Linked DNA regions of Caenorhabditis elegans. The protein of the gene in region 1 binds, or shares a complex with, the protein of each later gene. Each region holds a gene or a part of one and is shown on either strand. Other genes may lie near its edges. The genes, in order: unc-112 and pat-4.

Region 1 (11,720 bases):
GTCGATTCTTGTTCAGAAACACATTGACACCAGCGTCGTGGAGCCTGAATTTAAAAAAATTAAAATATTCTTAAGTTTCGAAAGTTGTTAAAGGTGGAGAAAATCGGAGAAGTTTTTTTAAACTTTGATACTAATTTCAGTTTTTTAACAAGACGATTTCAAGCTGGAATTTGAAATCAGGGAAAATATTCAGCATTTTTTCACATGGATATTCGTAATAAGGAGCCAATTTTTTTCCAGTTTTCGATCCTTCACACCGTCAAATAATTATAATTAAAACAAACCATTCTAGTACATTCTCTTCAACTGATACACTTGTCACATACAAAACATTGCGTAATGTTATTGCATTCATCAGACGATCATCATTCAATACAATATTCGATTTCATCACTCGACTAGTGAAATCCGAAATTAATTTTCCTAGATCATCGTCAATCTCCTCGACAGTCTTCTCTGATCCAAACTCCTGCTTGAACACGTGGCACAGATGTTTCGTGTGTCGTGGCATCATCGGAATGATTTTTGATTGATTGATAATCGATTTAAGTAGTTTCTCTTGTTCTTCGTTAAATGGTGTTTTTGATGGTTCAGGATCGATTTGTGAAGTGCTGCTTGAAGATGCGGAAATCTGAAAATAACTTTTGTTTGATTCAAACTTTCAAATCTCGACTTTGACAATCTCATTTATTTATAAAGCTTGTACTGTCAGAAACGAAAAGTTTTGCCAGACGGTGAGAAAAAAAACCGACAATGTTCGATAAAAAAATGTCTGAAAGCACGGGGAGTCAGAATGTCTTATTTTGATTTGATCTTCATAAAATGCGGGAGAAGAGACGCAGACTTCTCATCTTATTTCGCCTGGTTAAGAGCGTGCTGACGTCACAATTTTTTTGGAAAACTATTCCCGCACTTTTTGTAGATCAGAATTAAATAAGACAGCCTAACACCACGTGTGAAAGCTGTTACAAATGCAAAGTGTTGTGAAAATTTCGCCGCAAAAGCGGCTTATGCATGCAACAAGGTACCATATTCAAAATGTCTAGAAGACCGTTCTGCTTTTCCAATTGAGCTTTTCAGACATTTTTAATCGAAAATTTTCGTTTTTCTGTGAAATACCAACACTTGGCGTTTTTCGTGGGGATTTCGGAGTAAAACCCAATTGTTCTGCAATTTTCTTAAATTCGGCACATTTCAACATACAGAGAGTTCCGGCGGTTTCCAATAACCATCATTCTGAATATACTTTCTCTTCCATTCCCGTCGACAATTCTCAGAATCCTCCAAGTGCACAGTACATTTTAATGAACAATTCAAAGGAAAGAAATCGTCATTAAAATCGATAGTAATCTCATGTCCATATGGAATGAAGTCTCTTGCTTTGATAATTATATGGAATTCTGTATTGTTTCTTTCATAACTAAGATAACTATTCGGAAAGCAGCTTCTTCGGACAAATCTTCCAGGATTATTTCCAGTCCCTCGAGCATCCAAACAGACACATCCGTATGTGAATAGAAAGTTCACATTTCGAGAATCTTCTTGAAGTTCATGATGAAATGCCAATAATCCTCGAATCCTCACAATTGGCTCGTCCGGCTCGATGTCTAGATTTGAGACGAGAGCTCTGTTGATTAAATAGGATTTCGAAATTTCGATACTGCGACACTTTTTTCCGAAACTTCGAACTTCTGTGATGGGGAATAGTGTCGGAAGCAGCTCCTCGACGTTTTTCGAAATGATTGTTGATGATTTGTTTTTCGGGTTCATTATAATGCGATCTGAATAAATTTCAAATTAATTTTGGCAATGAAAATATGGATTAAAATAGAAATAAGCCTGCAAGCATAGAGGAAACCAGATTTTCGGTTTTTTTTTTCAGAAAAATGACAAAAATTAAGCGCAGGAATGAAAATAGATGAAAAAAAACCGTTTCTTCGAACATTTGTAGAATTTGTGTTGGTTTTTTTTAAAAGGATAATGCGAAATTTTGGAGTTATATGCACTTCACTGAAAAACGGATAGTTCTAATGGGAAGGAAAATTCTTATTCGTGAAGTTATTGGGCCCATTTTCTTCAATTTGCTCGATGATTTAAGAGGCACTGAAGAAAATGCGAGGAAATTATTTTTTTTAATTGTCTGACTCTACGGATTTTTTTTTAATATCCACTATTTTTTCGGGATTTTTTTTTTGATAATTCTCTGTTTTGAACAAGATTTTATAACACAGAAACATAGGAAAATGCCGAACTTTAGCTCTGAAAACTATTAAAAGTTATTTTTATCATGAAGTACAATTTTTCACGGAGAAACCCGACACAAATAAAAGTTTTACGTGATGTTCAACGTTTAATATAAATTTTCAAACAAATAAATCGAATATTGGCCAAAAAAACTAAAGAAAACAGAGTAAAAAGTTCAAAAATAAGATTGCAATTGTTGAAAAACAATGAAAACAATTGCTCGTAAAGTTATGGCGAAGTACGCAAAAGCCTCTGCGTACTTCGCAATCTACCGTAGTCATCAATTAATTTTTTTGTCAGTCGCGCGCGACAACATGTCGTGCCGTGCCGAGAAATACTGCATAGGATATAAAAACAAAGAAACGTTAAGTGATAGCTGAAAATATCAGTTTGATTTAAATGGCTACAAGGTTATTCCTTGACACAAAAAATATCCCGTAGGGAAAACTACAGTAATTCTTTAACATCTTTAAATTTCGATTTAAATTTCGGAAACATTGATTTATCGATTGAATATTGAAATTAAGCCGAAAATTAAAAACTAATACGAGGAAACGAAGAAAAATGAATATCGATGTCACTATTCGAAAAGAAAATCATTTCAAAAATCCGTAAATCGACTAAAGCGCTACAGTAGTCATTTTAAGTATTAATATAGTTCTCGCTACGAGATATTTTGCGCACTATGCATTCTCAGAGTTTTGTGTTCCCGTATACACAGTGCTCAAATTCTTCGTCCAAAAAATTTCTGAGCTTATTTCAAGTTTGATCCAACTCTTGTTAATGTCTTATATAACTTTAAAACGATTCAAAAAACGATTAGGTCAAAAAGTTTGATTTTTAACGCCGCCAAAAAAATTTGCATACGCTTTATAAGCAACTTTTGTACCAAGTTTATATTTCTTTTGAGCCAGACTTGGACAAGAAGTTAGCATTTTGTGTCAGCGCATATTGAAATTTCACTACCATTTCTAATATACTGTAAAGGATAGTTACTTTTGTGGAAAATCTGAACTTTTATCAATTGCACCATAAAAGACGAGGTTACCAAGTGTTCACAGTATGAACTTCACACGTGGTGTTAGAGTGTCCCATTGATCTACGTAGTTCACATTGTTCACAAATGTTCACATTATCCAGATATTCTAATTCAGAAACTAGTATACACCTTTCTCCATTTCATTGCACTTCTCCATTCATACCCAACTACCCGTGATATCCTATACTTTTACTCTCTCTCTCTCATGTCCAATGTCCCTTCAGAAGCTGCTTCCTGGCATCTTCCTCCTCCTTCTTCTGCCAAATCTTTCTGCCAGCCGGGGGACGGGACTCTTTGTGTAATGTTGTCTTCTTCTTTTCCTTCATCTACAGCAGCATCGCCTACTGTCATTCCTTCCCATTCCCGCGTAGCCGCCTGCCGAGTGTCCTTCAACTCTCCGTCTCTTCTACAACTGTTCACTCTCTCTCGCTCTCTCATTGCATTTTGGAACATACAGATAGGGAGTCAGAGAGATAGAGAGTGAGAAAAGAAGCGGAGAGACGGTGTTGCTGTGAGTCAGAGACGAAGAGTGTGTACTGCTCCGGCCGTCCGTTTGTTCGTCCGCATCGGCAGTCTTTTCTCTCATTCTCTCATTCTTCAATGTTCTCTAGCCTCTTTTTTCGTTTATTTTATTCTGTATACACGTTCCTCTCTACCTGATATTCTCCCACACATAGCTTTTTTATTGATTTGTTGATTGTTGTTAAGCGGTTTTTTTTGTTTTCTATTCTATCTACCGTGGACGGAGAAAATACACTGTTTCTATAATTTGCTAATCTTTCCAACAACTAAAATATCTCAGTGGTTCTACCTAAATCACTTCAAACATGGCACATCTTGTTGAAGGAACCTCGATTATTGATGGAAAATGGCAATTGCCAATTTTGGTCACCGATTTGAATATTCAAAGGTGAGGATTTAAAATTATATATTTAGAAAATATTAACTTTCAATAGTACTGCATGTTTAGCAGTTGTTCTTAAATAACTGCAATTGCAGGAAGTTATAGAAAAAGATTCAATGCACATTTTCTGAATTCAAGTCATTTTGTCAGAATAAGTGATAATTGAGTTATTCTCGGATTGAGGTTAAGCCTAAACCAATCCTAGGCCCAAGCCTAAGTCTAAGTCTACGACTAACTATAAGAATAAGCCTAAGTCTACGCCGAAGCCTAGCCTAAGTTTAAGCTTAAGCTTAAGTTTAAGCCTTACCCTAAACCCTAGCCTAAATTTTCAGAAGATTCCGGTTAAATTTTTTTCCAAACATGAATGAGACATTTTCAAACTCAGAGTCTTCCAATTTCCAATAAATGTATTTATTTCTTCCAGAAGCATCTCTGTCCTTGGAAATCTTAATGTGGGAGGACTCATGCTCGAACTTGTTAGCGAATGCGGTGAGTTTTTTTTTCGAATCTTATCACCTCGGTCAAGATCTCAAAGATCTCAATAGACCATGATTTCTCTCTTTTCTACTCAATATAATCTGTTAGATATATCTGCCACTGTGTGCGCCTACGCGTTTGTTACAACGAAAAGATACGTGGTGTGTGCACCATTACGAAATGATGTTCAATATCAGTAAAAATTGAAGGCATGGGAAAATGTTGAAATCTGCTGGAAAAAAATGTTCTGGAAAGATAGGGAACACTTTTGGAAACACATCGTAACGGAGCCCTTGAAGAGTGCGCCAAGTGAAAAATTTCTCGTACAATTCTTTCAAGTTTGCTGAAAATTCGTATTTTGAATAAAACAGTTTAATTAAAAAGTTAATTTTTGAGAGATCTTCACGAAATTTTTTAGGGACTGTGAGCTCCGAAATAGTTGACAAGAAGTCCTCTATACATTTTGAAACATCATAGAAACTATGCGGAACCTATCAAATATTTATGGGCTCTTCTCATCTCCTACCAGTTGCTCTTCTCTTTCTTCTTTTTCTTTTCATCCTAACCCCTGTTAATGTTGACTATTCGAGTGCACGCGTGCGCATCTACATAAGCTGATTGTTTCGGATGGGACATTCGCTGTTGGGTACATAAAGTTTAGAGGCTTTCCTTGCAGAGATATAAGAGCACACAATGATAGGGGGTCCCAGGAGAGAGTATCAAAACTTGAGAAGCAACTGGCATTCATCATGACCAAGAGCAGAAAGGGCGCATAGGAGAGGCGCATAAAAACGTTTTGGAATTAAGTTTTCGCGCGATTTTTAGAACTTGCAGAAGCTGAAGGGATGAAGATTTTCTGCATTAGGGTATAACAATTTGTGTGCTCAATGTGTTTAATTTCCAAGTTCAAAATGTAATCATTTGGGCTTCAGCTGAACAAACAATTTACAAAACAGCTGTATTGAAACAAGAATCTAAAAAACTCCAAATATTTCTATTTTTCCAGATGTTGAACGAGATTGGTCTGATCATGCTCTGTGGTGGCCGGAGAAGCGGCGATGGCTTCAACATACTCGATCGACTCTTGACCAGAATGGAATTACAGCTGAAACACAATTGGAGTTCACACCAATGCATAAAGAAGCAAGAATTCAGTTACCAGATATGCAAATGATTGATGCGAGAGTTGATTTCTCGGTAAATTCATTCAAAGCAACAAAGAAATTGTGCCGTGATTTGGGTATTCGATATTCAGAGGAATTGTCTTTGAAGAGGTAAGTAGGAATTGGGAAGTTTTTGATGTTTTATTTTTAATTTAAATAAGAATGGAGTTGTGAAATTCCTTAGTTGGTTGAACGAGGATTGAAGATCCTTGGGAATCTTAAGCAACTAGGGAAAATCTATGCCTGATCGAAATCCTGCCCCAAAAGTTTGAGCAAGGTCAAAAGTTAACTACTACCGAGCATGTGAAATAACCCAATAATTCAAAATCATATAATTTAAAATATTACAGATATATTCCACCAGAGGATCTTCGACGTGGAACATCTGACGCCGACAACATGAACGGTCCACTCTCAATGCGTCCAGGAGAAGAATCAGTTGGACCAATGACTCTCCGTAAAGCTGCTCCAATCTTTGCTTCTCAATCGAATCTTGATATGCGCCGTCGTGGTCAATCACCCGCGCTCTCCCAATCTGGACACATTTTCAATGCTCACGAAATGGGAACTCTTCCTCGCCACGGAACATTGCCACGTGGTGTCAGTCCATCGCCAGGAGCATATAACGATACGATGAGAAGAACACCAATTATGCCAAGCATCAGTTTTAGTGAAGGACTTGAAAATGAGCAATTTGATGATGCTCTTATTCATTCACCAAGACTTGCTCCAAGCCGTGATACTCCAGTATTTAGACCTCAGAACTATGTGGAAAAAGCTGCGATTAATAGAGGATGGCTTGATTCTAGCAGATCACTTATGGAACAAGGAATTTTTGAAGGAGATATTATTTTACTACGATTCAAATTTATGAATTTCTTTGATTTGAATCCAAAATATGATCCAGTGAGAATTAATCAACTTTACGAGCAAGCAAAATGGAGCATTTTACTTGATGAATTCGATCACACAGAGGAAGAAGCCACACTATTTGCTGCTCTTCAACTTCAAGCAACCCTGCAAAGAGATTCTCCTGAACCTGAAGAAAATAATAAAGATGATGTGGATATTCTTTTGGACGAGCTTGAGCAAAACCTTGACGCAGCTGCTCTTAACAGACGATCAGATCTTACACAAGTTCCCGAGTTAGCAGATTATTTGAAATATATGAAACCAAAGAAATTGGCAGCATTCAAAGGATTTAAACGGGCATTCTTCTCGTTCCGTGACTTATATTTATCATATCATCAAAGCTCCTCAGATGTCAACTCAGCTCCACTTGGACACTTCTCATTGAAGGGATGTGAAGTTAGTCAGGATGTTTCAGTTGGACAGCAGAAGTATCATATCAAATTGTTACTTCCAACTGCTGAAGGAATGATTGACTTCATTTTGAAATGCGATTCCGAGCATCAATATGCCAGGTGGATGGCTGCGTGTCGGTTAGCATCCAGAGGGAAGTCAATGGCTGATTCGTCATATCAACAGGAGGTGGAGAGCATCAAAAACTTGCTCAAGATGCAAAGTGGTAAGTTGTTGATTTTACAATTTAATAAGTGATAATGAAATTATTTTCTTCGAATGAAACAATTTTTCAGGTAATGGAAACGAAAACGGAAACAGCAACACAGCTTCGCGAAAAGCCGCCGCTGTAAAACTACCAAATGATTTCAATGTTGATGAGTACATATCGTCGAAATACGTACGACGAGCACGCAGCAAGCAACAAATTCAACAGCGAGTATCAGATGCTCATGGAAATGTTCGACAACTCACGGCAACCGAAGCGAAACTTCAATATATCCGAGCATGGCAAGCACTTCCCGAACACGGAATTCATTATTTCATTGTAAGATTCCGAAATGCTAGAAAGGCGGAATTGGTGGCTGTTGCTGTGAATAGACTTGCAAAATTGAATATGGATAATGGAGAAAGTCTGAAGACATGGAGGTTTGCAAATATGAAGAAGTGGCATGTCAACTGGGAAATTCGACATCTCAAGGTTAGTTTTTGATGAATAAAATATTTAAGATCTGGACATGATCGGAAATCGAAAAATTGCAAAATGTTGAGAACGTTTTCGAGACCTATTCATCTAAGTTTCTTGTAACAACTTTCTGATTGTTAATCTATTTTGTGATGTCTTGAAATTACGTTTTCATCTCAAAATCTTTCCTAATATGTATATCTAAACACAAAGAACAATTGGCTTTCAAAAAATCTTTGTATTGTTTCAAAAATTATAATATTGCGTTTTTGATTCAATTGTTGTTTTCTATCCATAAGTCTATTCGCCGTAACTTACTAAAAAATTCAGGTCTTTGGTAATTTAAAATCTAAATCAGATAATGTTCTCAAAGACCGAAACTTTTTCGGTAAACTTGGTGCTGACAGGAAGGTAGGCAGACTTCATGCCTATTTGCCTACATGCCAGCGTTGCACCTTGAGCGTTTTAGAAATAAATTTTTAAAATCTGTTTTGTGCCTACATAAAAGGCTTAGATAAACCCGAAAATAACCGAGAACAAACTTTTTGAAATTAATTACTTTTTTTCTTTGAGTATACTATTTTATCATCCTATCTCCCCAATTTCCAGATTCAATTCGAAGATGAGGATATCGAATTCAAGCCACTTTCCGCTGATTGCAAAGTCGTTCACGAGTTCATCGGTGGATACATTTTCCTGTCAATGCGAAGCAAAGAACATTCTCAAAATCTTGATGAAGAACTTTTCCACAAACTTACAGGAGGATGGGCTTAGATATTTAAATTTCTATAATCTTTTGCAAACCAAAGAATTTTAATTTTAGGCTCCAATTCCATCTTTTTCGTTTCAAAATTTCAATATATATATTTGTTTTCTTTCATTTTTCTTGTTTCTCATTTCCCCCCTTCCCCTCTTCCAAATAATTTTTCGTTTTAATAAGACAAGTATACCGGATCGAAAAAAAGTTTTATGTGCCTTTTCATATCTATGGATTAATAATAATTGTATGAGAAAAATTGAAAAATATTATAAAAATTGAATAATAAAAACTGATGAATAAACATTTAAAATCTTCTTCCGCGTTCCTCGAGCTTTTCGAATTTTTGTTGATTGCTGATTTCTAGTCTTCCAACGTTTCGTTCAACTTCAATCAGCAACTGATCTCGCTCTTTTTCCAGTTTTTCAAATTCTCCCATCACAATATCATTGAGTTCCTTGTATTTTTCAACTTCTTTCCTCATATTCTCAACGTTTCGCATATCTCGCTGGAATAATAATCAGGAAATTATAGTCATTTTCCATCTTTTCTGGTAGTAGGCAAACGTAGGTACAAGGCAGGCAGGCACTGTTCTGCTATCTAGCTACCTACCTAACTACCTAGGAATCCTTAATCTGTTCTATTCAACCATATAAAATCAATAGTACAAAACATATCGGCAATATAAATTTGATAGAAAAAAAGCAAATAAGTTTGTATCCCGTTATTTAAAAATTTGTTTTCAAACGGATTGAAATCATGTGAAAACATGTTCAAGAAGTATCAAGAAATTTGAAACAAAATTTTCAAGCAACAGCAAAAAATATCTGAATGTAGTCTTCGCCCATAAATTTGTTTTTTCACGATTTAGAATCGAATTGTTTCTTATTTTTCAAACTAGTTTTGTACGTTTTTTTTAAAGTTAAACAATTTGTCAGAGCAAATCAAGCAACTTTCACGAATGATACGTACATCCCTTTTCTTACCTGAAAATTCCTCTTGTAATCCTGAAGCCTCGCGATTTCTTTGCTCATCTCATCAATGTTTGCTTGATTTTGGCCGAGTAGGACGGCTTGATCCTTGAGTTTCTCGCGACTATCAATGAGATCCGCTGATATTGAATCACGTAGATCACGGAGATTTGAAACTTCGCTCTGGAATGGTGAAGATGGTTTTTATGAAGAATTAATACTTTAATAAAAATTAGTTGAAAAAATTGATCTTATGATTCAAATATCGTTATAAACAGGGGGTTTTTATTTTGCTTTAAAAATATCCAAAATAGACTCAAATTCAGAAATACGACAGAATAAATACGATGAAAATAGAGGAAAATTTCAAATATTAATTTTTAGTGTGATTTGACAATTTTGGTTTTTAATTCCCTCCAAAACGAGAAGCCACGCCCGCTTTCGAACCAACCAGAATCTTCGAACGTTACAAACTTTATCTGATTAGTTCAAACGTGGGCGGAGCGAGTCGTTGATTGGTCGCAGTTCTCGCTGTGGAGGAAATTCAAATCATATATTTTAACTATTTTGAGATTTTTTTTCTGTTGTGGTATTTCAGAATGTTAGATTTTTTAAATGCAAAATCTAAAATATCGAATATTCAGAGTTCCTACCTGCAAGAAATCAATTTTTCCTTGCATCATGGCAGTTTGCTCACTATTTCCAGATTCAATTGTCCTTATCTGTTCCATATGTTTCAATCCAATTTCCTCAATTTCAATTTCTCTTTCTTCTTTCATCGCTTGCATTTGTGTCTCCTGTTCCTCTTTCATTCGTTGCTCCAAATGCACAATTGCATATTTCAAATCACTTTGAGCTTCTAACTTCTCTTTTTCAAGCTCCGCAATGAATGTTACTAGAAGATCATCAGATTGTCTTAAGATATTCGCTGCTTTCTCTTTTGTCAATTCTTCCATTGTCTGACATTCAACACTTTCTAGACCACCACTTGGAGCAATTGCTTCTGACTGTGTTCCAGCATTTCTATGCATTTTTGCATGAAATACCAAACTTCGAATTCTTTGTTGTAATTTCTGGATATGAGTTGCTTGATGTGTCTTCATATCAAACATACTTTTCTCTACGTCTCTTGTTCTCTCTCTTTCTTCTCCTAATCCATTTTCAGCTATTCTCCAGAATTGTTGAATTCTTCCTCTTTCCTGTTGAGCTGCATTCAGTTCCACTCTAGTTTTTGTCAATTCTCCACTCAACTTATCAGCTCGATCTTTCAGGCGGTCTTTTGTAATTTGAATTGCGTTTAATTTTTTCTCAACTTCAGCTATCTTTCGGGAATCTGCATTCTGATTCTGGATTGGCTCAACAACTTGGACTTTCTTTTTGGCAGCAGATCCTATTGCAGGTTTTCGACGGGAAGCTGCATTGGTCGATAATGTAGACTAAAATTGTTACAAATTTTTTGATAATATAGTAATTTTAATAGATTTTTGCTTTTGCTTTAACAGCTAAAATTACAAGAAACACAATCCGTAGAAAACTGTTGGTCGACCAAAAAAATTACGATGAAAACTGAAACAAAAAGAACTCCGTCGAACCGGATTCGAACCAGTGACCTAAGGATATCTGCAAACTCTACAGTCCTCCGCTCTACCAACTGAGCTATCGACGGCATGTTTTCGGTCGATGCCGCTGACACACACAAAACTGAAGAATGAGAGAAAACGCGCGCGGAAAGATGGAAGACCGGTTGCCGACAGTTTTCCGTTAAGAGGTGACGGAAAAAGTGTATACCCACAAAAACTGCGTATATTCCGGTTATTTTTCAAGTGTTTTCAGCGGTATTTTGAAAATTAAGCAGCAGAAAAAACTACATGCGCCTTTAAATTGAAGTACTGTAGAGAAAACAAATTGCAAGCCTAAAAACGAAAAAAAAACATTTATTTCGAATATCCCTTTTAATACATACCCTGATAGCTTTGGGTTTCTTCATAACTCGCTTGTTTTGAATATTAGAAGACGTATCACGCGAAGTCCCTGCCGTTTTCATAATTAATAGGAGTGAGCACAGACTGCAAAGAGAGCCCGGAACACAGAAAGAGCTCAGTAAAGCTGCTTTCAATTTCTCAAGGGCAGTTGGAAAGAGTTGGCATGGTAACGGATGTCAATTTGAGCACGCATCAA
Region 2 (12,568 bases), on another chromosome or scaffold:
AATAAAAACGCGGAAAATTGTCCGAAAATCGATTAGGGACGACGAGAGAGTGTGGGGAAGTGAGAGACGGAGCTTGTGTAGATTTACGGTGAACAACGCGTGGGGGTGGGATAGCGGAGTGTCGTTTGGGAATTTATTTTATTAAATTTTTATTGTTTTTGTTGATTTTTAGGAGGTTTCCTTGGTTTTTTCGACTATTTTCTTCAGAATTTTGATGATTTTGATGTAAAATCACTTCAAATTCCAATTTTTCCAGGTAAAATGAGCTCCAGCCTGCTTGCGAGCCTCTCCCGGCTCTCCCTACTTCAAACCCGCCAAATTCATCAAACAATTCCCGCCGGCTCCTCGGTTTTTATGAAAAGACAGAAGAAAATTGATCCGGAGGTAGAGAAAATTACAGTTACTCATTGAATAAAACGGGAAATTTAATAAAAATTGAGAAAAAATTCAAAAATTTTCCAGGTAGCAAAGCAGCGAGAGACCCGACGCAGAAAACGGCTGGAAAAGGATATTCGTCAGATGCAAAAGCACTCGAAAAAGCCGAAACCAGTGGATGAGCTCACTTTGGACGTGAAATCCGCGAAAAATATCGGGTTTTTCAGCGATTTTCTGCCTAAAAACTCGGAATTCTTACAGAGAACGCCGCCGCCCACGCACCGAGCTCACCTTGGAGCAAATTGACGAACGAGCCATCGCTCTGAAGGTAAAAATCTGAGAATTTCGCTTCAAATCCGTGGATTTTCAGGATTATACACGCTCCCGGTTGGCTTTGCAGCAGGAGGATGACGCGTGGATTCGTGGAGCCATCGAATCGCAGAGAAAAGCTCTAAATGAGCTGAAAATGCTCAAATTGGAGCTCTACGAGGCGGCTGTACAGCCAGCAGCCAAGGATTTACCGCTTATTGTTCAGGTAGCGGAGAAATTGAAGAAAAATGGTCAAAAAATTGATGAAAAACCCGAAAAACTCACGAAAATTCATTAAAATCTTAAAAATTGCTAGAAATTCGGAAAAATGCCCAAAATTTTAGAAAATGTTTAAATATTCCTGAGAAAATGTCAAAAATACCGAAATTTATTAGTAAAATCTTGAAAATTTTGCCAAAAATCTGGAAAAACCTGGAATTTTCGACTTTTTTTTTCTAAAAGTTTCAAAATTCCCAAATAATCATTCAAAAAAAAAAACTTTCTAAAAAATCTCTAAAATTTTTGCGGAAATTTTGAAAAAATTCACTAAAAAATTGAAATATCCCCGGAAATTTCGAGAAAATCCAAAAATTTCGGAAAATACACAAAAATACCGGTTTTTGCTGAAAAAGCACAGAAGTTTTGCGACAAAACCTTTAAAAATCTGTAAAATCCCCCAAAAATTTTCAAATTTTTTCTCGAAAAATTGCAAAAAATGTAAAAATTCCCCCAAATAATCCGAAAATCCAAAAAAATTACCTAAAAATCGGGAAAATTTTGAAAAATCCCTGAAAATTGTCGTAAAAATACCAAAAATTTCGCTAAAAATCTGAAAAATTGCTAGAAATTCGAAAAAAAATGCTTAAAATTTCAGAAAATGTTAAAAATTCCCAAAAAACATGTAAAATCTTGAGAAAATGTCAAAAATACCGAAATTTATTAGAAAAATCTGAAAACTCACTGACATTTTGCGAAAAATTCCGAAAATTGGTTAAAAAATTTTTTTAAAAAACCTGGAATTTTCCAAATTTTTTTTTCTAAAAATTAAAAAATTCCGAAAAATCCTTTAAAATTTCTTACAGGGACCCTCACTGACTCCGCCCATTCGAAACTACGAGGCTCCGGACGGCGACTACATTGATACTACGAGAAATTGGGCATCTTAGAGCCGAAAATTGTTGATTTTTATGTGTTTTATGGGTATTTTTGTTGTAGACAGTGACATAGGATGACGCATTAATAAAGGAATTATCGATTTTTATGGAAAAAACTAAAAATTTCAGTGAAACCGAGCTGGAAAAAATAAATTTGCCACTGCGGGGATCGAACCCAGGCCCTGTGATTGGCGGGCGAGGTCACTAGCCACTAGGCTACACGTGCAAATTTTTGGCAACTGATTATTTGGATACATGAAACTTACTGCAGCGAACTTTTTTGTCGAAGAGTGTTTGCGTACAGTAATCCTTACATTTCATAAGATTTTATTGATTTTTTCATAAATTGAGCAATTTTTTTTGACAGTTTAACATTTAAAATTAATATATAGACGGAAAATGCGATGGGGCTGGACAAGGAGCAGGCACTTTTGATGTAAAGCTTTGATAAATTGAATTTTAAAAAAATTGTTGAAAACATTAGAAAAGCAAAATCGATAAATCATAATATCATTCTCTCTAAAATCGGAATGATTTGATCAAAGTTTGGCCGACGTCCCGGGTCCTCGTTCATGCAAATGTTCATCAAACGGTTCATATTACGGGCGATTCCAGGGGGAATGTGCACTCGGAGACCTTCCAGAGCGATCTGAAATTAATAAATTTGGATTCAGCGTGAAATTTGGGTCTGGAAACGCTGATTTTGGAGGTGTAAGGGGTACTGTAACCCTAAAAGTACGCAAACACTGAATCTGACGACGACTTGCAGAAAAGCGGTGGAAAATGAGTTTTTTGAGTTTATTGAGGTAGAAAGTGACGGGAAATTCAAATTTTTTGATAAAAATTATATTTGATCAAAATTATACGAAGAAATTCGAATTTTTTGACAAAATTTCAGAAAAAAATTTTGATTTTATCTCAAAATGTCAACAAACTGTGGTTCAATTCGAATTTCTCGCAAAATTTTGAGCGTGGTCAGTCGTTACTAGACGTTTCTATTCCATTTTCAGGGCTTTCGGGGTACTGTAGTCTCGGAAGTACGCAAACACCGAATCTTACGACATTGAGCCCAAACGAGCTAAAAAATGTTGTCACGGCCTGTTTTGAGCTTCTGAGTTTGAATTTAAGAATGAACACTTTTGAAAAAAATAATAGAAAAACAATTTTTTTTGGGCCAAAAAAAAATTTTTTTCCAAAATTTCATCCGAAATTAACTGATAGATTAATTTTAGGATTTTAACATCATTTTTCACACTTTCAGCCCTCCAAAAACCCTCCCTTACCTTCATTCCGCATTCCATTGGCGGTAGATCAGAGAATGGGACCTCACGAGTGTTCAGCTCCCACAACAATATAGCAAATGACCACATATCGGCAGCTCTAATATTCAAGTCTTCTGGAGCCCGTGACAAGGCTTCTGGGCTCATCCAGGCAGGCGAATAGGCTTTTCCGACCTCTTGGAACGAGAATTTCGTATCTGCCATTGAGAGTTTGGCGGTGAGCTCCTCGTCGACTACAACGTGTTTGGAGGAGAGGTAGAACCTGGAAACTGGGCTTTAGGCTTATGATAGCTTAAATTATCTGAAACTCTAAAATTAGTTAAGAAACGTAAAAAAATGGGGGGAAAATTAAAAAATTAAAAAAAAAAAAAAAAAAAATTTTTTTTAAGTTTTTTTTCGAGTAGTGCCCCAAAAACTCTTGGATTCCTGAAAACAATTTTTGAAAATTTTTGTTGTAGCTACTTTTCGAAGAACATTATTTCAGGCACATTTTAAGCCAAAAACCGTTTGAAAGTATCAAAAACTAAAAAAGTTATGAACTTTTGAAATTTGGAAAAAAAAATCCAAATTTTTTTAAAAACATAAAATTCAAATTTTCCCGCCAGAAAAATGGGCGGAGCCTATAAAAATTTATACTTTTCTGGGAGCTCTTTTTAAGCTCCATTCAACCACACTAACCTCAAAAGCATAGGGTCCAAACTGTGCAAGTAGCTCATTCCTCTAGCAATGTCCAACGCGAATCTGACGGCTTGCCCGTGATCAATGACGACAGCTGCAATATTTTATTGATTTTATTAAATTATTTCAGCGATTTTTCACAAATTAATGTCAAAATCTAATAGATCTCGTTAAGAGCTTTCAGAAAAGTATAATCATGCCTAGGCTCCGGCCATTTTAGCATGAATTCGAGAATTTTTGGGTCTCGCCACGAAAACTGTTGGGTTACTGTAGATAAGTTATCTAATATGATATTGATAATTTTACTAAAAAGACAATTTTTTGAGTTATCTGTGCGCAGTATTTTAACAAAAAATCTCAAAAATTGGGAAAAGTACAAATTTTGAAAAAAAAAAATTTATCAAAAAAAAATTTTTTTCTACTTTTTCGAAATCAAAAAAAAAAATTTTCAAAACATTTTCTAGGACTAATTTTTGCGCCCTTTTCAATGAAAACCTTCAAAACTCACAACTTTGCTCGTGGAGCACGTTATACAGGCTTCCAAATGGCATGTACTGCGAGATGATCACCAAGTTCGGTGGCTGGTTAGCCGCGGCGAGCACCGCACAAATATTCGGATGAGCAAAAATACGAAGAGCCGGAAACTCGGTCTGGAAGTCACGTGAGATACGGGCGGTCACTTCTTGAACATTCAAAATTCGCGCCACAATATCGTTGCCCTGCCATTTTCCACGCCACAGTTCTCCGGAGTGTGATTCAGCGATCTGTAACAGAGTGGGGGTTAAGCTGGAAATTTTTGGGATTTTTAAAGTTTGAGGTAGCTTATCAAGTTCATCTTGATCTAGACTTTCAGAAAAGTATACATTTACTCAGGTCAAAAAAAATTTTTATTTCGAAAATGAAGTTTTTTTTTCAAACATTTCAAATCTTAATAACTTTGCCAATTTTTAAGATTTTTTGCAGATTTTTGACATAAAACACGTATAAAATATTGAAAAACAGTATTATTTATATTAAATAATAATATACACTACGGTAAGTGAATTCTGGAAGTTTACGTAGCGGGTTCCAATTTTCGACGAGTTTTTGAGTCCCACCGCGAAAATCCATAGTGTTAAGCTGTTTTGTGTCAATACAGTATTTTAATATTTTATTGACGTAGAACAAGTTTTTGTGCATATTTTGAGGTTAAAACCGGCTGAAAATCTCAAAAACAGTCAAAGTTATGATTTTTTCAATGTTTGAAAATTTTCCTTAAAAAATTTTTTTTTTCGAATTTTTTCAGAAACTTCGAAATTCGCGGAAAATTCCCATCCTTCAACGATTGAAACTAATTTTTTACGCTGAATTTGAATTTTTAAGTTATTTTCCACTGAAAAAATCTATAACCCACTTTAGTGATCAAATTCAGCGAGGAGACGTCGACTCCGGTGTAGCGGGACAGTGTGGCGTCCCGAGTACGGGACTTTGTACCCTTCCATGTGGTATCCTTGAATGGTACACGGTCATTTGGAGATTGTCCATGTTCTTGAGCAATTTCTAGAAAAAATCGATAATTTAAAAATTTATTAGAAAAAAGTCATCCCAAAAAAAAAACTTTTTGCGAGTCAAAAGTCTTTGCTGAAAAAAACATTAAATTTTTGTACACATTATTTTTAAGTATCAAAATTAAATTTTGCTCACCAAGAGCTTTCTGAAAAGTATAATCATGCCCAGGCTCCACACAAAATGAGCATTGCCCAGAAGACTTCAGAATTTTTGGGTCTCACCACGAAAACTTATAGGGTTACTGTAGTTTATGTTTTTCAATTTTTTAAGTTAATTTACCAAAAAGCTTGATCTTTTAGACTTATTTTAACGTTAAATTAAATCGAATCGCTTGAAAACTAAAAAGTTATGAGTTTTTGAAAAGTTGTAAAAATGTTGAAAAATGTTTTTTTTTTCAAAAAATGCATTTTTTCTTCTAAAAATCTTATCTATATGTTTTCCGACTAAAAAAATTCAATTTTCAGATTAAAATGCACAAAAAACTTACCCAAAATAGTGTTTTTGCACATTGGCTGGCAAACGTCCAGTGGGGTCATTCCCTTCTTGTTGCACACGTTGACAGCGGCGCCGCAGGAGATTAGGTCCTGAAGTTGTTATTTTGCAAGAAATCAAGGTAATTATTAACAAATTCAAATTCAGCTTGTTAAGAGCTTTCAAAAAAGTATAATCATGCCCGGGTTTTGAAAATTCTACAAATTTTCGATAAATTTTTGGGTCCCGCCACGAAAACTCCCAGGGGCTACTGTAAATAGGGACTTTTTGTGTTTTTGGTATAATAAATTGAAATTTTAAAATATTTAGGACGCAAGTATGAAAACATAAAAAAAAATAGCCAAAAAACTTCCAAAGTTATAAAGTGTTGAAAAAATGATTTTTTTTTCAGAAATTTTTTCCGGCAAAAAAAAGCTCAAAATTTTTGGTCAAAAGTGGGCGCATCCTTTATGAATTTATACATTTATTAAAGCTCAAATCTAGTTATATTTGATTATAAAAATAATTTCACCTAAACTATACATTTTCATTGCGAAATTAAAACTTTCCGAGAAGAACTTATTCGAAAATTTGGAAAAAAAATTTTCTGAATTTTTTGAAAAATCATTTTTTTCCAATTTTCCCAAAAAATTTTCCCAATCGAGTTTATACTTATTTTGAAGCTCTAAACAAGCTCTATTCGAATTTATCAATAAAATCACCTCAGCAATTTGTTCATATCCCCAAAAGCAAGCATAATGCAGTGGAGTCATTCCGTGCTCGTTGGTAGCGTTAACATCGGCTTTTCTCGACAAAAGCTTCACCACAATTTGTCGGTGTCCATGGGCGGCCGCCAAATGCAATGACGTGTCATCTCCCATATTCGTAGAGTTTACACGTGCTCCACGTGACAGGAGCATCTCTGCAATCGCCACGTGGCCGCCCTTCGCGGCCCAGTGGAGCAGTGAGAAGGCGTGATCGTCTCCGACGTTGAGATCGTGCTCGTGATCGTCCAACCAGACGCGGACCTGAAATTTTGATAGTAGTCTTAGTCTATAGTAAGGATTGTGATAAATCCTCTGCAAAAAAATTGGACAATTTCGGTGAAAGTTGATCAAGTTAGCATGAAAAGAAAAATCGGACAAAAATTACCGGAAATTCCAGATTTAAGCTTAAAATCTAGCTTTAAACTTGATTTTTCAAATTGGCAACAATTTTTTTCAAATTCAGCTTAATTTTAACTTTTAGAAAAGTATAAATTTGTATAAGCTCCGCCATTTTAAATAGGAATTTAAATTTAAAAAAAAAAAATTTTTAATGAATTTTTTTTTTAGAAAATCTCAGAATTTCGGATTTAAATTTAAATTTTTTTAATTGAGGAAAAACATTAACTTTCAAAAAAGTATAAATTCATATACGCTCCGCCCACTTTTCAGCGAAAAAATTTGAATTTTTCTAGAATTAAAAAAAATAATTTCCAAACATTTTCAATTTTTTTCCAAATTTTTTTTTTCAAAAACCTATACAAAATTATACTTTTTCAAAAGCTCTCATCGAGCCTAACCCCATAAAAATATTTACAAAACTCACCTGAAAAGCGTTACCCTCGCGGACCCATCCAAACACATCCTCCATTATAATGGGCACATTTGGCTTGTGCGCATGGTAATGAGTCGACAAAGACATTGTTGACTGGAAATATAAGGTTTTACGTGTGAAATAGTGTAAAATTTGAAAAAATCAAGAAAAATTGAGCAGGAACATGTAAAATTACAACAAAAAAAATCGGTGAAAATTGAAGAAAAAAACTATTAAAAAATCAATAAAAATCTCCAAAAATTTCCAAATTTTCTCAATTTTTCCAACTTTTTCCCGGGCCCCATGAAGCCCGGAATCTATAATTTCAAGCCAAAAAAGTTAGATATAAGAGACATAGACAAATAAACAATGCAATAAGTACAACAGAAAGCAGTAGAATTTTGCTGAGGCGACGGCATGGGGGGGGGGGGGTCAACATTGTTCCCCCGCTGGCCAGGCGAGATAGTAGAGGACTATGTAGGAGACGCAGAGAACAAGACGAAATTTGTTGTAAATGTATGTATTGTGGAGAGGGAGTAGTATCCCGCGCAGAGAACAAACGGCAAGCGATTGTGGGATATCTTTTCGTTGACCATTCCGTCGTCTAGAGGTTGGCTCAGAAAAAGCTCTGAAACTTCGCTTGAAATGAGCTTCTGGTCTTGAATGCTAAGAATTTGAAAAGATGAGAATTCGGGCTTTCAGAAAAGTACAAATTTGCCTGGATTTTGCCTGAAAATTTTTATCAAAAAACCGGCAAATTCGCTTCTAGGACATTTTCCAATTTTACCTTTCACAGCTAACTCCTGAAAAAGCTCTAAAATTTGGCTGAAAACGAGCTTCTGGTCTTGAAAATTCAAAATTTGAATAGGAAAATTTCCGAGCCATCAGAAAAATATTAATTTATGGTAACTTTCTCTTAAAAATTTTGAGGAAATCGTAATTTTTGCTCTGAAGCTCCGCAGCGAGTTTCAGAAGAATTACTGTAACTTGGCTGAAAATAGTTCGACAAAGTTATACCTAGTTTCATTAAATTAAGCAGTTTAAGGGTTTTCAGAATAGTATAAATTTGCTAAAAAAGCTTTAAAAAACCCCAATATTCCAAAGGACTTTTTTGATTAAAAAAGTAATTCAAAAAAAATTTTCACGTTATTTCAAAGCCCCCATCGCACATTTTTGTGCCCAAAAGATCTGTAAATTTTTCCTCTACAGCACTGAAAAGTTATGTATCAATTCCTGTAAAAACTCTTGAAATTCCTAGCGTTTTCGTGGCGGGACCCAAGTTTTTTTAGCAATTTTCTTCTCAAAGACTGGGTTTACAAAATACCTGAACCCGGAGCATAACGAAAAATTGTGAAGCTTAACAAAGTTACCACTTCACAATTGCAGCACTAAAATTCAATGACGTTTTTCAGACAAAAAACCATTTTCAGACGCTTTTCCCAAAACAGCCAAGAAAGGGCCTAACGTGGCCTAACATCCCAAAATTTTGCCACGTGGCAGAAAAATAACGGAATATCATATCACTAGAAAGTATATCATAAAATTGAGTTGGTTTTGAGGGGGCGAGAAGCTCATCGGAAGAAGGTATTCAAGAACATTTGAGAGAAAGAGAAGAGACGGGGGAGAGAGAGTGTGAAATGCAGTGAGAGACGCAGAGATTTGGTTCCCGTGGGAGTCGTGTGAGTTAGAGATAAAGAGATATGGAGAGAGATAGGAGACGCAGAGAAGCAGGGACGGATGTTGTAACACGATTCTCGGATGGAAACTGAGCATTGATGATGATGATGCCAAGGATTTTGGGGACCGGGAGGGTTGCGTAGAAAATTATTGATTTTCTGACAATTCCAGCGGGGGGAGTCGGAGTGTCCCATTTCGGTTTGATCTACGTAGATCTTCTACAAAAAATGCGAGAGAAGAGCCGCAGAGTGTTCTCAACTGATTTAGCAACGTGCTGACGTCACATTTTTTCGAGCTAAAAATTCCCGCATTTTTTGTAGATCAAACCGTAATGGGACAGCCTGGCACCTCGTGTAAATAAGTTGCCAGCTGACGATATGTTTATTATCTTTTACTCTATAGCATAACAGTTACAATGTGTTATATTCAAAAATATCCAGAAATACGAGCTCCAAAGCTACCAAAGTTGATGAATGGGGGGACACTGACTTCGAGGTCTGAAATATTAAACTTACTTGGAAAATTCAGCAAATCTAAAAATCTAACCTTCCTGGCCACCTCTTCACCACAAAACATCCTCCCCACAGTTTTCCGGTACAAAGTGTTCACTCCAAGGCAGAGAAGGCAGTGGAGAATCGCGTTAATTGGCACGAAAATCGTGAAAATGTCCAGGAAATTGTAGACTATATTTCTGAAAGCTCAGCTTATAAAGGTGTGCACTGCTACAGACAAAAAACTTACACCATTCCAGCTTGCCCTGCAAAACCCCGCAGCTGTACAGGATACCAACGGGTCTTTCTAGTGCCACAAATGTAATTGCCATTGGGATTTAGTTTTGTGAGTCAGAAATAATACAAAATTTACCTACTTTTCCGCGTTTTTTCCCATGCTCGCCGAGCTCTTCCGACGGACTTCTCTGACGTATTTCAGCTGCTGCTGTAGCAAAAAAGGTAAGTGCTGGAAAGGCTATTGTAAGGAAAACCTGAAATTTCTGACTGCAAAAAAAAAAATTAGGTAGCTGAAAAACTCCAAACCTTAACAACTCCATCACATGTGTTATAAAGAACATACACGACAGAAGTGTGATTAGAGTATTCTTCAATAGTTGAGTAGAACTGGGGTTGGCTGTAGTTTGCAGGGAAGCCAAAGCACCTGAAAAAAAATTTTAGGTGGTTAAATGACGTAGGCCTTACTCTCGCCACGCCCCGCACACAGCTATAGTGTCGCGAGGTGCCGCGCAGCGTCGGCTCCGAAGAGCGCTACCAACCTTCGGAGGTTTTCTTCTAGGTAGGAAGCCCAGAAGTCTAGCTGGCTTTGGAGGTAGGTCAGTGGTGGAGTGCTGAAATTTGTTCATATCTTTAGAGAGTCTAAGCTTAAGTCAGAGTCAGGACCACAGACCTGAACCAGGCGGTGGGTGGCAATTGCCGTTTGGCAAATGTTTTGGTCGACAAATTCGGCAAATTTCCGGTTTGCCGATTTGCCGGAAATTTTTATTTTCGGCAAATTGCCGGTTTGTCGAACATCATTTTGCCGGAAGTGTTTAGAGGTTTCCTGCTTTCTTCCCATAATTTCGTAGAATTTTCTTACTTTTCAAAAAAGATGTAGGAGCATTTATAGGATGCCTACAATTTTGCAGATTATAGATAAAATCTGAAAGTTCCAAAAAAAAATTGCAAAACCAAAATTAGCCGCTTTTCCGGCAAATTTGGCAAATCGGCAATTTGCCGGTTTTCCGATATGTTGGAAGGTTCCAATTTTTTTTCAATTTGCCGACTAGCGGGCCCCATAGGGCCCGCTAGTTTCACTCCAAGGCAGAGAAGGCAGTGGAGAATCGCGTTAATTGGCACGAAAATCGTGAAAATGTCCAGGAAATTGTAGACTATATTTCTGAAAGCTCAGCTTATAAAGGTGTGCACTGCTACAGACAAAAAACTTACACCATTCCAGCTTGCCCTGCAAAACCCCGCAGCTGTACAGGATACCAACGGGTCTTTCTAGTGCCACAAATGTAATTGCCATTGGGATTTAGTTTTGTGAGTCAGAAATAATACAAAATTTACCTACTTTTCCGCGTTTTTTCCCATGCTCGCCGAGCTCTTCCGACGGACTTCTCTGACGTATTTCAGCTGCTGCTGTAGCAAAAAAGGTAAGTGCTGGAAAGGCTATTGTAAGGAAAACCTGAAATTTCTGACTGCAAAAAAAAAAATTAGGTAGCTGAAAAACTCCAAACCTTAACAACTCCATCACATGTGTTATAAAGAACATACACGACAGAAGTGTGATTAGAGTATTCTTCAATAGTTGAGTAGAACTGGGGTTGGCTGTAGTTTGCAGGGAAGCCAAAGCACCTGAAAAAAAATTTTAGGTGGTTAAATGACGTAGGCCTTACTCTCGCCACGCCCCGCACACAGCTATAGTGTCGCGAGGTGCCGCGCAGCGTCGGCTCCGAAGAGCGCTACCAACCTTCGGAGGTTTTCTTCTAGGTAGGAAGCCCAGAAGTCTAGCTGGCTTTGGAGGTAGGTCAGTGGTGGAGTGCTGAAATTTGTTCATATCTTTAGAGAGTCTAAGCTTAAGTCAGAGTCAGGACCACAGACCTGAACCAGGCGGTGGGTGGCAATTGCCGTTTGGCAAATGTTTTGGTCGACAAATTCGGCAAATTTCCGGTTTGCCGATTTGCCGGAAATTTTTATTTTCGGCAAATTGCCGGTTTGTCGAACATCATTTTGCCGGAAGTGTTTAGAGGTTTCCTGCTTTCTTCCCATAATTTCGTAGAATTTTCTTACTTTTCAAAAAAGATGTAGGAGCATTTATAGGATGCCTACAATTTTGCAGATTATAGATAAAATCTGAAAGTTCCAAAAAAAAATTGCAAAACCAAAATTAGCCGCTTTTCCGGCAAATTTGGCAAATCGGCAATTTGCCGGTTTTCCGATATGTTGGAAGGTTCCAATTTTTTTTCAATTTGCCGACTAGCGGGCCCCATAGGGCCCGCTAGTCAGAATAGTTTTATAAAATCCCGAGTTTTGTGGTCGTACAAGTTAAAAAAAAACATCGTAGTTTATTACTATAAATTGACAATTAACAATTAAATGGATACAACACATTTCGGAATTAGTTTGAGAATAAAATAATCCAGGAATATTTGAAATAACATTCAGTTCTCAAAATTAGATCAGAATAGTTTTATAAAATCCCGAGTTTTGTGGTCTTACAAGTTTTTTAAAAAAATCGTAGTTTATTGCTATAAATTGACAATTAACAATTAAATGGATACAACAAATTTCGGAATTAGTTTGAGAATAAAAGAATCCATTAGTATTTGAAATAACGTTCAGTTCTCAAAATTAGATCAGAATAGTTTTATAAAATCCCGAGTTTTGTGGTCTTACGAGTTAAAAAAAACATCGTAGTTTATTGCTATAAATTGACAATTAACAATTAAATGGATACAACACATTTCGGAATTAGTTTGAGAATAAAAGAATCCATTAGTATTTG

What was found.
Region 2: unc-112 (region 1) and pat-4 share a complex: the UniProt entries of both Caenorhabditis elegans proteins name them as parts of the integrin containing attachment complex.

Annotation. Positions count from the first base shown.
Region 1 is NC_003283.11:14,689,020-14,700,739, reverse strand, and holds unc-112 (Protein unc-112), read left to right. Parts: upstream 1-4,085; 5' UTR 4,086-4,110; coding exon 4,111-4,193; intron 4,194-4,611; coding exon 4,612-4,676; intron 4,677-5,670; coding exon 5,671-5,938; intron 5,939-6,177; coding exon 6,178-7,355; intron 7,356-7,425; coding exon 7,426-7,829; intron 7,830-8,423; coding exon 8,424-8,588; 3' UTR 8,589-8,878; downstream 8,879-11,720. Other genes in the region: set-5 (SET domain-containing protein), read right to left, coding at 1-44, 285-631, 1,204-1,770; gasr-8 (uncharacterized protein), read right to left, coding at 8,879-9,079, 9,558-9,725, 10,196-10,978, 11,506-11,586. UniProt on the Caenorhabditis elegans protein: Component of an integrin containing attachment complex, which is required for muscle development and maintenance. Probable regulator of cell-extracellular matrix adhesion. Required during initial muscle assembly to form dense bodies and M-lines.
Region 2 is NC_003281.10:87,303-99,870, forward strand, and holds pat-4 (Integrin-linked protein kinase homolog pat-4), read right to left. Parts: upstream 7,508-12,568; 5' UTR 7,502-7,507; coding exon 7,406-7,501; intron 6,844-7,405; coding exon 6,538-6,843; intron 5,929-6,537; coding exon 5,832-5,928; intron 5,336-5,831; coding exon 5,190-5,335; intron 4,561-5,189; coding exon 4,305-4,560; intron 3,891-4,304; coding exon 3,797-3,890; intron 3,381-3,796; coding exon 3,122-3,380; intron 2,488-3,121; coding exon 2,341-2,487; 3' UTR 2,151-2,340; downstream 1-2,150. Other genes in the region: mrpl-40 (Large ribosomal subunit protein mL40), read left to right, coding at 262-384, 463-593, 637-703, 746-910, 1,767-1,850; C29F9.8 (G_PROTEIN_RECEP_F1_2 domain-containing protein), read right to left, coding at 9,481-9,567, 9,617-9,761, 9,812-9,816; C29F9.9 (DUF4708 domain-containing protein), read right to left, coding at 11,096-11,248, 11,301-11,418, 11,460-11,620. UniProt on the Caenorhabditis elegans protein: Probable pseudokinase that acts as an adapter protein. Component of an integrin containing attachment complex, which is required for muscle development and maintenance.